Linked DNA regions of Arabidopsis thaliana. The protein of the gene in region 1 interacts with the protein of each later gene in a pairwise test. Each region holds a gene or a part of one and is shown in the gene's direction. Other genes may lie near its edges.

Evidence for each region.
Region 2: the proteins of HTA9 (region 1) and CDPK2 interact in binary tests that used the Arabidopsis thaliana proteins (3 or more experiments, as listed by UniProt).

What each region holds. Positions count from the first base shown.
Region 1 is NC_003070.9:19,643,115-19,647,070, forward strand, and holds HTA9 (histone H2A protein 9), read left to right. Parts: upstream 1-2,121; 5' UTR 2,122-2,294; coding exon 2,295-2,402; intron 2,403-2,810; coding exon 2,811-3,107; 3' UTR 3,108-3,371; downstream 3,372-3,956. Other genes in the region: AT1G52730 (Transducin/WD40 repeat-like superfamily protein), read left to right, coding at 51-186, 292-373, 738-913, 1,024-1,161, 1,257-1,396, 1,623-1,864; AT1G52750 (alpha/beta-Hydrolases superfamily protein), read right to left, coding at 3,671-3,787, 3,878-3,956. UniProt on the Arabidopsis thaliana protein: Variant histones H2A are synthesized throughout the cell cycle and are very different from classical S-phase regulated H2A. May replace conventional H2A in a subset of nucleosomes.
Region 2 is NC_003070.9:13,203,428-13,209,100, forward strand, and holds CDPK2 (calcium-dependent protein kinase 2), read left to right. Parts: upstream 1-1,917; 5' UTR 1,918-2,028; coding exon 2,029-2,569; intron 2,570-3,258; coding exon 3,259-3,402; intron 3,403-3,491; coding exon 3,492-3,644; intron 3,645-3,742; coding exon 3,743-3,858; intron 3,859-3,929; coding exon 3,930-4,097; intron 4,098-4,180; coding exon 4,181-4,405; intron 4,406-4,490; coding exon 4,491-4,631; 3' UTR 4,632-4,862; downstream 4,863-5,673. Other genes in the region: RPL21C (Ribosomal protein L21), read left to right, coding at 5,350-5,664. UniProt on the Arabidopsis thaliana protein: May play a role in signal transduction pathways that involve calcium as a second messenger. Functions as a regulator of the calcium-mediated abscisic acid (ABA) signaling pathway. Phosphorylates ABA-responsive transcription factors ABF1 and ABF4 in vitro.

The sequences.
Region 1 (3,956 bases):
TATTTCGTAGTTCATAGAGTTTTGAGAATACTCATGTCTTGATGGTTTAGATTCGCATCCAATGTTGAGAAATGGGGAAACTGGAGACTGGATTGGTACATTTGAAGGGCATAAAGGTGCAGTTTGGAGTTCTTGTCTGGATAACAATGCATTACGTGCTGCATCTGCTTCTGCCGATTTTTCAGCGTATGTGTTTAATTTTTTTTGGTTCATTAAGTCATTATTTGCGTATGTTTTATGTTCTTAGATACAGCACATTTATCCAATTTTTTGTTATCTTGTTTTGTTCAGCAAACTTTGGGATGCGTTAACAGGGGATGTGCTGCATTCTTTTGAGCACAAGCATATTGTCCGAGCATGCGCCTTCTCAGAGGTTCGTTCAACCTATTTACTCTCTCCATATAGATTCTCGATTTGGTCAACTGGGGTTTTGTAAGATGGTAGGCTAAAAGAATTGGAATTATCTACTGAAATACTTTAATCCTGTTTTGTCTTTATAGGCATAAGCTTTTGTATCTCTGTGTTTTGGATTATCGGTTGTGGGCAGGTTGTTATGTAATAGCTCTTATTCAGGCAACTGCACGGAATTTAAGTAAAAAGCTTTGAGGATTTGTTTAATTAGGTGATAGTGAAATTGTTCTTCAGATTGGACTATTCTTAAACATTTGTTGTTTGTGGATGGTGTCGATCCGCTTTTATGCATCGTCACTAATTGAATGACATTTTTCTTTCACTAGGATACAAAATCGTTGCTCACAGGAGGGTTTGAGAAAATTCTTCGTGTTTTTGACATGAATCGGTTGGATGCACCTCCTACAGAAGTTGATAAATCTCCTGGTTCTATCAGAACCCTCACATGGCTTCACAGTGATCAAACAATATTAAGTTCATGTACTGATATTGGCGGTGTAAGGTATGAACTAAACAAGACACAGACTAAATACACATTGTCGCACATAAAAAGGCATAGTTTGATAGACGTTTTGTTTGCTTTTCCGTCTCCTCTACTGCTATCTTATACAGGTTATGGGATGTGAGGAGTGGGAAAATTGTGCAAACGTTAGAAACTAAGTCTCCTGTCACCAGTGCTGAAGTGAGCCAAGATGGACGGTATATAACAACTGCTGATGGGTCAACTGTTAAATTCTGGGACGCTAACCAGTAAGTTCTCATTCTAGGAAGAGAATCAAATATTTTCTAATTACCTTTTGTATCTTGCTCAAACCCCATCTTTGCCCCTTGCTTTTTCTTCCAAGTTTTGGACTAGTGAAGAGTTACGACATGCCCTGCAATATTGAATCTGCATCGTTGGAGCCAAAGTCTGGTGAAAAATTTGTTGCTGGTGGAGAGGATATGTGGGTCCGAGTGTTTGATTTCTACACTGGCGAAGAGATTGGTAAGTGACTTTCAAAACATCTATGCTATCATATTCCAAATCAGACACTGTCATATTACCTTTTTGTCGTCCAAGTTAAATTCCAGATAGCTTCAAGCTTAATTGGAGTTTCTGACTCTGTTATAAACTCCATGAGTGAAGAGCTTAATAGATCTTTGAAGCATGGTTCTTTAAGCTCCTGCGAGGTTTTGGTTTTCTGATTGTTTCATTTGTGTCTGAAACTTAGGATGCAACAAGGGACATCACGGTCCAGTACACTGCGTTAGGTTTACTCCCACTGGTTTATCCTATGCCTCGGGATCTGAAGACGGGACAATCAGAATCTGGCAAACAACACCAGCAAATCCCGAAGAGAACGAAACTAGCTCGAGGAGAGTGAAGCATAGCGTGGATGAAGTTTCAAAGAAGATTGAAGGCTTTCACATCAACAAAGAAGGAAAAACCGCAGAGAAACCATCTGATACTTAAGCTAAACTGAGCGTACAAAAAGCCTCTATATGTCTTAGTTCATGATTTGCTATGTTTTGTTTCCAGACTGAATGATTATACAGAGAAAACAAACAAAGATCTCCCTCTCTTCTTTTGAATCAAAACATGGGTGTTAAAATTTAATAGTTTTCTTTCAAGTGTCTTTTTCAATATTGAACTAAATTTAGGGACGAATTTGTGATTTATGATTATTTGACTTTAGATTGGGCTTGGGCTTTTTTCGCAGGTTGGGGTATAAGGGTAAAATCGTCATTTGACAGACCGACTTGTCTCTCTCTATCTGGGGAAAACGTCTATCGGGAGACTCCTCTTCGAGCTCATCTTCTTCTCTCTCTTTTTATCTTTGGTTGTGCGATCTCCTTTCTCTTTCAATCTCCAAGGATTTTACTGTGAGATATTTGGCGGGAAAATGTCGGGGAAAGGTGCTAAAGGTTTGATTATGGGGAAACCCAGCGGTAGCGACAAGGATAAGGACAAGAAGAAGCCTATCACTCGTTCTTCTCGAGCTGGTCTCCAGGTAGATTATAATCTCCCTCACACTCTAAGTCTTCCGTGTCTGTTTCTTTGGGAATCGAAATGGTCTTATACACCTGAACGATTAGTAGATCGCGTTTAAGTGGTAGATCGATGAGATTCTGAGCTAGATTTGGTAATTTCAGCTGAGAATTAGAGACATTGGGATGCGAGATTTGGTTTTCTATTGTGTTATCTGCTGGAGAATTGTTTCATTAAGCTTTTATGGTTGATATTGAACCCGATCTTTGATTTCACGGAGTCTTGTTGTTACAGCTACCTTGTGAATTGAATTCGGAGTTTTTTTTGTAGAGATTTATTGTCATATATGAAATGTTTCTGGGAGCAATTGAGATTTGAGTATTCATTTAGGTTCCATTGTTGTGGCTAATTGAATTTACATTGTGTGCAGTTCCCAGTTGGTAGGGTGCATCGTCTGTTAAAGACAAGGTCCACTGCTCATGGAAGGGTTGGAGCAACTGCAGCTGTTTACACAGCAGCAATATTGGAGTATCTGACTGCAGAAGTTTTGGAGTTGGCTGGTAACGCCAGCAAGGACTTGAAGGTGAAACGTATCTCGCCGAGGCATTTGCAGCTTGCGATTCGTGGAGATGAGGAGCTCGATACTCTCATCAAAGGAACTATAGCTGGTGGTGGAGTCATCCCTCATATCCACAAGAGTCTCATCAACAAATCCGCCAAGGAATAGGACTTTTTTAGTTACCCGCTTTGTTCTGTGTTGCTTTTCTGTTTTCTAAATGTTTTTAAGAGTTGTTGTTTGATAAGATGCTAGAGAAGCTCTTTTTAGGATCGTTTGCTATTGTTCGTTCGATCAGCGTACTTTGTGTTAGAGACGCCAGTCGATTTATCTATCTTTAAAAATGTATTCGAATGATTATCCAAAAACCATTTCTGACTACCTACCTTGCTGGTTTGTTCGCTGGAGAAGCTTGAAAGCAAATTCATTGGGAAGGATTTGTATTATCTCTAAATAGAATTCATATATACATCATACATAAGTAAAAATCACAGGTTTGTGTTTAAGAAAATTAGGCTGATAATATTCACTTGGCCTAGTTGACGTCGATGTGATTCTGAAGCAAAGTTCTTTGTAGCAAATCTGGTGGGAGTTTTAATCCCTTTAAGAATACACTGATGCCTGATTTACGCTGATGGATGGAACCACGAAAAATCGTATTCTTGTGTAGAGAGCTCCTGATGTTCTCGCAGATGTTTCCATCAAACTCTTCTTTGAGATGGTCTTGTGTGGTTTTAGGAGTTTGGTAGTTTAGGTATCAGTCTGCAAATGAAGGAGCCGAGAGCGGAAACAAGTGTTGTAGGACACTCCTCGTGTGGCAGATGGCCGCAACCAGAGATCTCTACTAGTCTCTGTGAGCGCACACAAAATACATAGACTTAGATTCAAGATAGCAGAAACTAAGTTATGAAAGTCTTGTTGAGAGAGGAGGTGAAACTTACAGAATTAGTGAGTTTTGAAGCCAGAACTTGTGAAGATTTCAAAGGAACAAGAGCATCTTCAGCTCCGGCAACAACTAAA
Region 2 (5,673 bases), 6.4 Mb from region 1:
ATTAAATCAAATAGAGTATATACTTTATGCATGGTTTACTTTACTACAGTTTTCTTTGGTTATAATTTATTGGACCATAAAAAACTAGATAGAAATAATACAACTGGATACAGAATCACAAGTTTCCATAATGAACGCAAAAATTAGAATGAGACGTGTAGATAAAATGGGTCCAAGTCATGTAAACGTGTTCAGCATTATCCACTAGTCTTCTCTTCGTACTACGACCCCAAACCCCACTAGCCTACACCAATCAAACCTACACCAATCAATTATAATATTTTGTCAGACGAGCTTTATGCCAATCTAATGGCTAGTTGAGTGTTTTCTTTTCAAGGTTTGTTTATTGATTCTAAAACTTGGGCCGCCTGAAGTTGAATTTGATACAACAAGCCTTGGAAAATAAAAAGTAATGTTTAAAAATCACAAAACATATGATGGTAAGATATTACTTAGCATTATACACTAAATAACCAAATTGTGAAATTTTATTTTGCAAAATAAAGTGGTGAGAAAATTACAAAATAAATAGGTGTTGATTTTTCGGATTGTTTAAAACAAATACTATGAGTTTTTATCGTGTATTAAACAAATACTAGCTTTTAATTTATCTGATGATACATTATTCTTAAATACAACAATCCACTTATTTATATTTTCACCACACCATATTTTAGCAAAAATAAATTAAATAAAAAATTGTATATCCTAATTAACTCATATGTTTTACAAGAACAAAACACAATACTATTTTTATACGTTCCAAAACTTTGTATTATAATTATTTTAATGTTTCTAAAGTTATAGCAATGTGACTAATGTAACATAAAAAAAAAGAGATTTATATCCTAAATTTTGCAATGTCACTAATTAACAAAAATAAAAAATATGAGAAATTAAAAAATGAGATTTATATCTAAAGTTTTGCAATGTCACTAATATAAAATTAACAAAACAAAAAAAAGGTTGATTTTGGTTTTTTATGTATGTAAAGTTAAAGCAAGTTAAACTAATGTGATATTAAAAAAACCAGGACTCAGAATCCCGCGATGTCGCGGAGGAAATATTCTAAATATGTTTATATAATGATTTAAAAAAAAACAAATCGCATATTATAAATTTTAGTAATTATTTAAAGAATATATATATATATATATATGTATATATATATTAAACAGATTAATAACCGTCAATAATTTTACAAAATTTTGCAATAAAAAAAAGATACAGACGAAGAAAAAAAACTCGTCAATATTAACAAACAATTACGATAATAAACAAGAAAAAAATAATCATCAATGTTTTAGCAAAAAATTGGGATGAAAACACACAAGCGGAAAAAATAACCGTCAATATATTAACCAAAAGTATCAATAAAAAGATATGAATGAAAAAAGGTAAGTTTCAATATTTCATTACACCATATTTTAGCAAAAATAAAATAAAATAAAACAACTATATATCCTAATTAACTCATATGTTTTACAAGAACAAAACACAATACTATTTTTATACGTTCCAAAACTTTGTATTTTAATGTTTCTAAAGTTATAGCAATATGACTGATGTAACATAAATTTAAAAAAAACAAATTAAAAAAAATTAAAAAATGAGATTTTTTTGTTTTAACATATTCTTTCCTATTTATATTATGAGGATTATATAGTAAATTTTGCAATGTCACTAATTAACAAACCAAATATATGTAATTAAATTTAGAAATTTTAAAATGAGATTTATATCTAAAGTATTGCAATGTCCCTAATATAAAATTACCGATTTAGAAATTAAAAAATGATGGTGTTTTTATTTATGTAAAGTTAAAGCAAGATAACTAATCTGATATTAAAAATTAACAAAACAAAACATATAAAATTAAATTAGAAAATAAACAAAATGTGATTAAAATGATATAAAGAGAGAGTCAAAAAAATTGGAGAAGAGGGAAGGAGCAACAAAGAAAAAGTCTGTTTATCATCTTCTTCTTCTTCAAATCGAGATCGAAGAAGAACCAACAAAAAACCAAAAATGGAGACGAAGCCAAACCCTAGACGTCCTTCAAACACAGTTCTACCATATCAAACACCACGATTAAGAGATCATTACCTTCTGGGAAAAAAGCTAGGCCAAGGCCAATTTGGAACAACCTATCTCTGCACAGAGAAATCAACCTCCGCTAATTACGCCTGCAAATCGATCCCGAAGCGAAAGCTCGTGTGTCGCGAGGATTACGAAGATGTATGGCGTGAGATTCAGATCATGCATCATCTCTCTGAGCATCCAAATGTTGTTAGGATCAAAGGGACTTATGAAGATTCGGTGTTTGTTCATATTGTTATGGAGGTTTGTGAAGGTGGTGAGCTTTTTGATCGGATTGTTTCTAAAGGTCATTTTAGTGAGCGTGAAGCTGTCAAGCTTATTAAGACGATTCTTGGTGTTGTTGAGGCTTGTCATTCTCTTGGTGTTATGCATAGAGATCTCAAACCTGAGAATTTCTTGTTTGATAGTCCTAAAGATGATGCTAAGCTTAAGGCTACCGATTTTGGTTTGTCTGTCTTCTATAAGCCAGGTTTGATTTTTCTCTTTTGGTTGATTGATTCATTAATCTTGCAATTGGTGTTTTGGTTTGATGATGATTTTTTCGTTGCTTAAGGGAATTTTGCTTTGTATCTTCATTGAGTCTTTGAAAGTTTATGTGTTGATTGGAATGATTCTGCATTTGTGTATTTTGGCTTGTATCTGTGATTCTTTGAAACCTTATTGTTGGTGGTTCATCGCCTAATTGGTTTTAGTTTACTCTTCAGGACAATGTCTATAAGGTGTAGTTAGGGAGCTTGCTTTGGTTAGTTGTTACTCATTGAGGAGTCTTTGAATGTGTGGATTGGAACTATTCTGCATTTGATTAAGTCTTTGGTTTGGTTTCTTGTAGAATCAGGTTATTTGTGTTTTCTATGAATCGAAAATTGAAACAAAGTGGTTTCTTGATAGAAACAGGTTTGTTGTGTTTTATATGGATTGCAAATCGAAATAAGGTTTTCGGTATGTATAGGTTTGATGATCTGTTTGGTTGGATTCAAATTTGTTACCTTCTTAGAGGGAACATTGTATTGATCGAAATTAATGTGTATAGATGTTCGTCATTGAGGAGTCTCTGAAACTTAATGTGTAGATCGAAATTATTCTGCATTTGTGTGTCTGGCTTGAACCTTCTCATTAATGCCAGTTTATCGGCTAATTGGTTTTTGTTTGCTTCTTCAGGACAATATTTATATGACGTAGTTGGAAGTCCGTACTATGTTGCACCAGAGGTGCTAAAGAAATGTTATGGACCTGAAATAGATGTGTGGAGTGCTGGTGTTATCCTCTACATTTTACTCAGCGGTGTTCCTCCCTTCTGGGCAGGTTAGTCTACTAAAAAAGTAGAGTCTTTTCTATTTACAAGTTTCGAGTTTTTGTTTGAATGATGTATTCTTTTCTCTTGGGCATTGCAGAGACTGAGTCTGGAATCTTTAGACAGATATTGCAAGGGAAGTTAGATTTCAAATCTGACCCGTGGCCTACTATCTCAGAAGCTGCTAAAGATTTGATCTATAAAATGCTCGAAAGGAGCCCCAAGAAACGCATTTCTGCTCATGAAGCCTTGTGTATGTTCATTCTTTGTTGTTCATTTGGAATTAGCAACTGTTGTGAATTGTTTTTATGGTAAATAATGAGTATTGAGTTTGCTCTGAATGTTATATAGGTCACCCATGGATTGTCGATGAACAAGCAGCACCAGACAAGCCTCTTGATCCAGCAGTCTTATCTCGTCTAAAGCAGTTTTCTCAAATGAATAAGATTAAGAAAATGGCATTACGGGTATGAATTCGAGTAATATACATTCGCTTTTTCTTTATGTCCAATCCGTATGCTGATTTCTCTGAACACAGGTAATTGCTGAGAGACTTTCAGAGGAAGAAATTGGAGGTCTGAAGGAATTGTTCAAGATGATAGACACAGACAACAGCGGAACGATTACTTTTGAAGAGCTCAAAGCGGGTTTGAAGAGAGTCGGATCTGAACTGATGGAATCAGAAATCAAGTCTCTCATGGATGCGGTATGAAAGAACCAAAACAAACTCTTTCCTCTTTTCAAAAACTTTTGTTTCCGTTTAACATCCTCTGTGTGTTGTGGTCACAGGCTGATATCGACAACAGTGGTACAATAGACTACGGAGAATTCCTAGCAGCAACCTTACACATGAACAAGATGGAGAGAGAGGAGAATCTGGTGGCTGCATTTTCGTACTTTGACAAAGACGGAAGCGGTTATATCACCATCGATGAGCTTCAGTCAGCTTGCACAGAGTTTGGTCTATGTGATACACCTCTGGACGACATGATCAAGGAGATTGATCTTGACAATGTAAACCACTCTTCTTCTTCTTCTCTTTGTTTACCTCCTTCTTCAATGTTACTTTACTATAACCGAGAGCTTTTGAATTATGTAGGACGGGAAGATCGATTTCTCGGAGTTTACAGCAATGATGAGGAAAGGAGATGGAGTTGGGAGAAGCAGAACCATGATGAAGAACTTGAACTTCAACATTGCTGATGCTTTTGGAGTTGATGGTGAAAAATCTGATGACTGACTCATCATTCTTCCACAATTTCTGTTTTTTTTCTCTTTAATTTCGTTTATATTTTGAATTCTAATTTCTAAGGATACAAAAATATATTCTGGCTTGTTTTTTGCTTTCCTTTTTATTTTTGTACATGAGCAACTTTCTAAATTTTTATCCTCATATGGATAATTTTTGCTTCATATAAAAGTTTTTGAATTCCAAAGAAATGTGATTTAGGGATGGCGAAAAGAAACCGAACCGAACCAAAATCGGATTTCATAAGTAATTTTGTTATAATACAAACTGTGAAACTGTAGAAAATTCTTATAACAACCCAAACCAAATCTAAATTCTTATAACAACCCAGACCAAATCTCAAATTGAAACCAAATTTGGTGAATTTGTAATTAACCAATATTCAGAATTAATATAACTAATTAAATATAAAGTACATTTAAATACACTAAACACTATAAAGAGATTAAGAGTAGTTAGAATTATAATTTTTGTCAAAAATCGAACAAAACCAAAATTGATGTGTATATAATATATTACTTAATTGGAAAACCCAAAATCTGAACCGAAATAAACCGGTAAACCGAAATTGCAAGCTTAGAAATTAAACCAATTTGAAGACAGGGGTACAATGGTAATTTTCAAAGGAAGTGGATAGGATAACACTGCGGATTTATTCTCCGTCGAGCTCCAAAGTCTCGAGCTTAGAGCTCTCTCTCAGTCGAAAACAATGGCGTCTTCTTCAGCGACGCTCTCTCTCTGCTCTACTTTCTCTGCTCATTGCAATGTCAATTCTCGCCGTTCTAGCACTATCCTCTGTTCTCTCTCTAAACCTTCGCTTAATTTGGCTAAACCTCTGACTGGATTTCTTTCTCCTTCCACTGCGTCGACGTCTCGAACCGCATTCACCGTCGCTCCGAAATTCGCGGAATCAGTCGTCGAAGCTGAACCGGAGACTACCGATATCGAAGCTGTGGTGGTTTCCGATGTTTCGGAGGTTACTGAGGAAAAAGCTAAACGAGAAGAGATTTTCGCTGTTATTATGGTGAGCTTG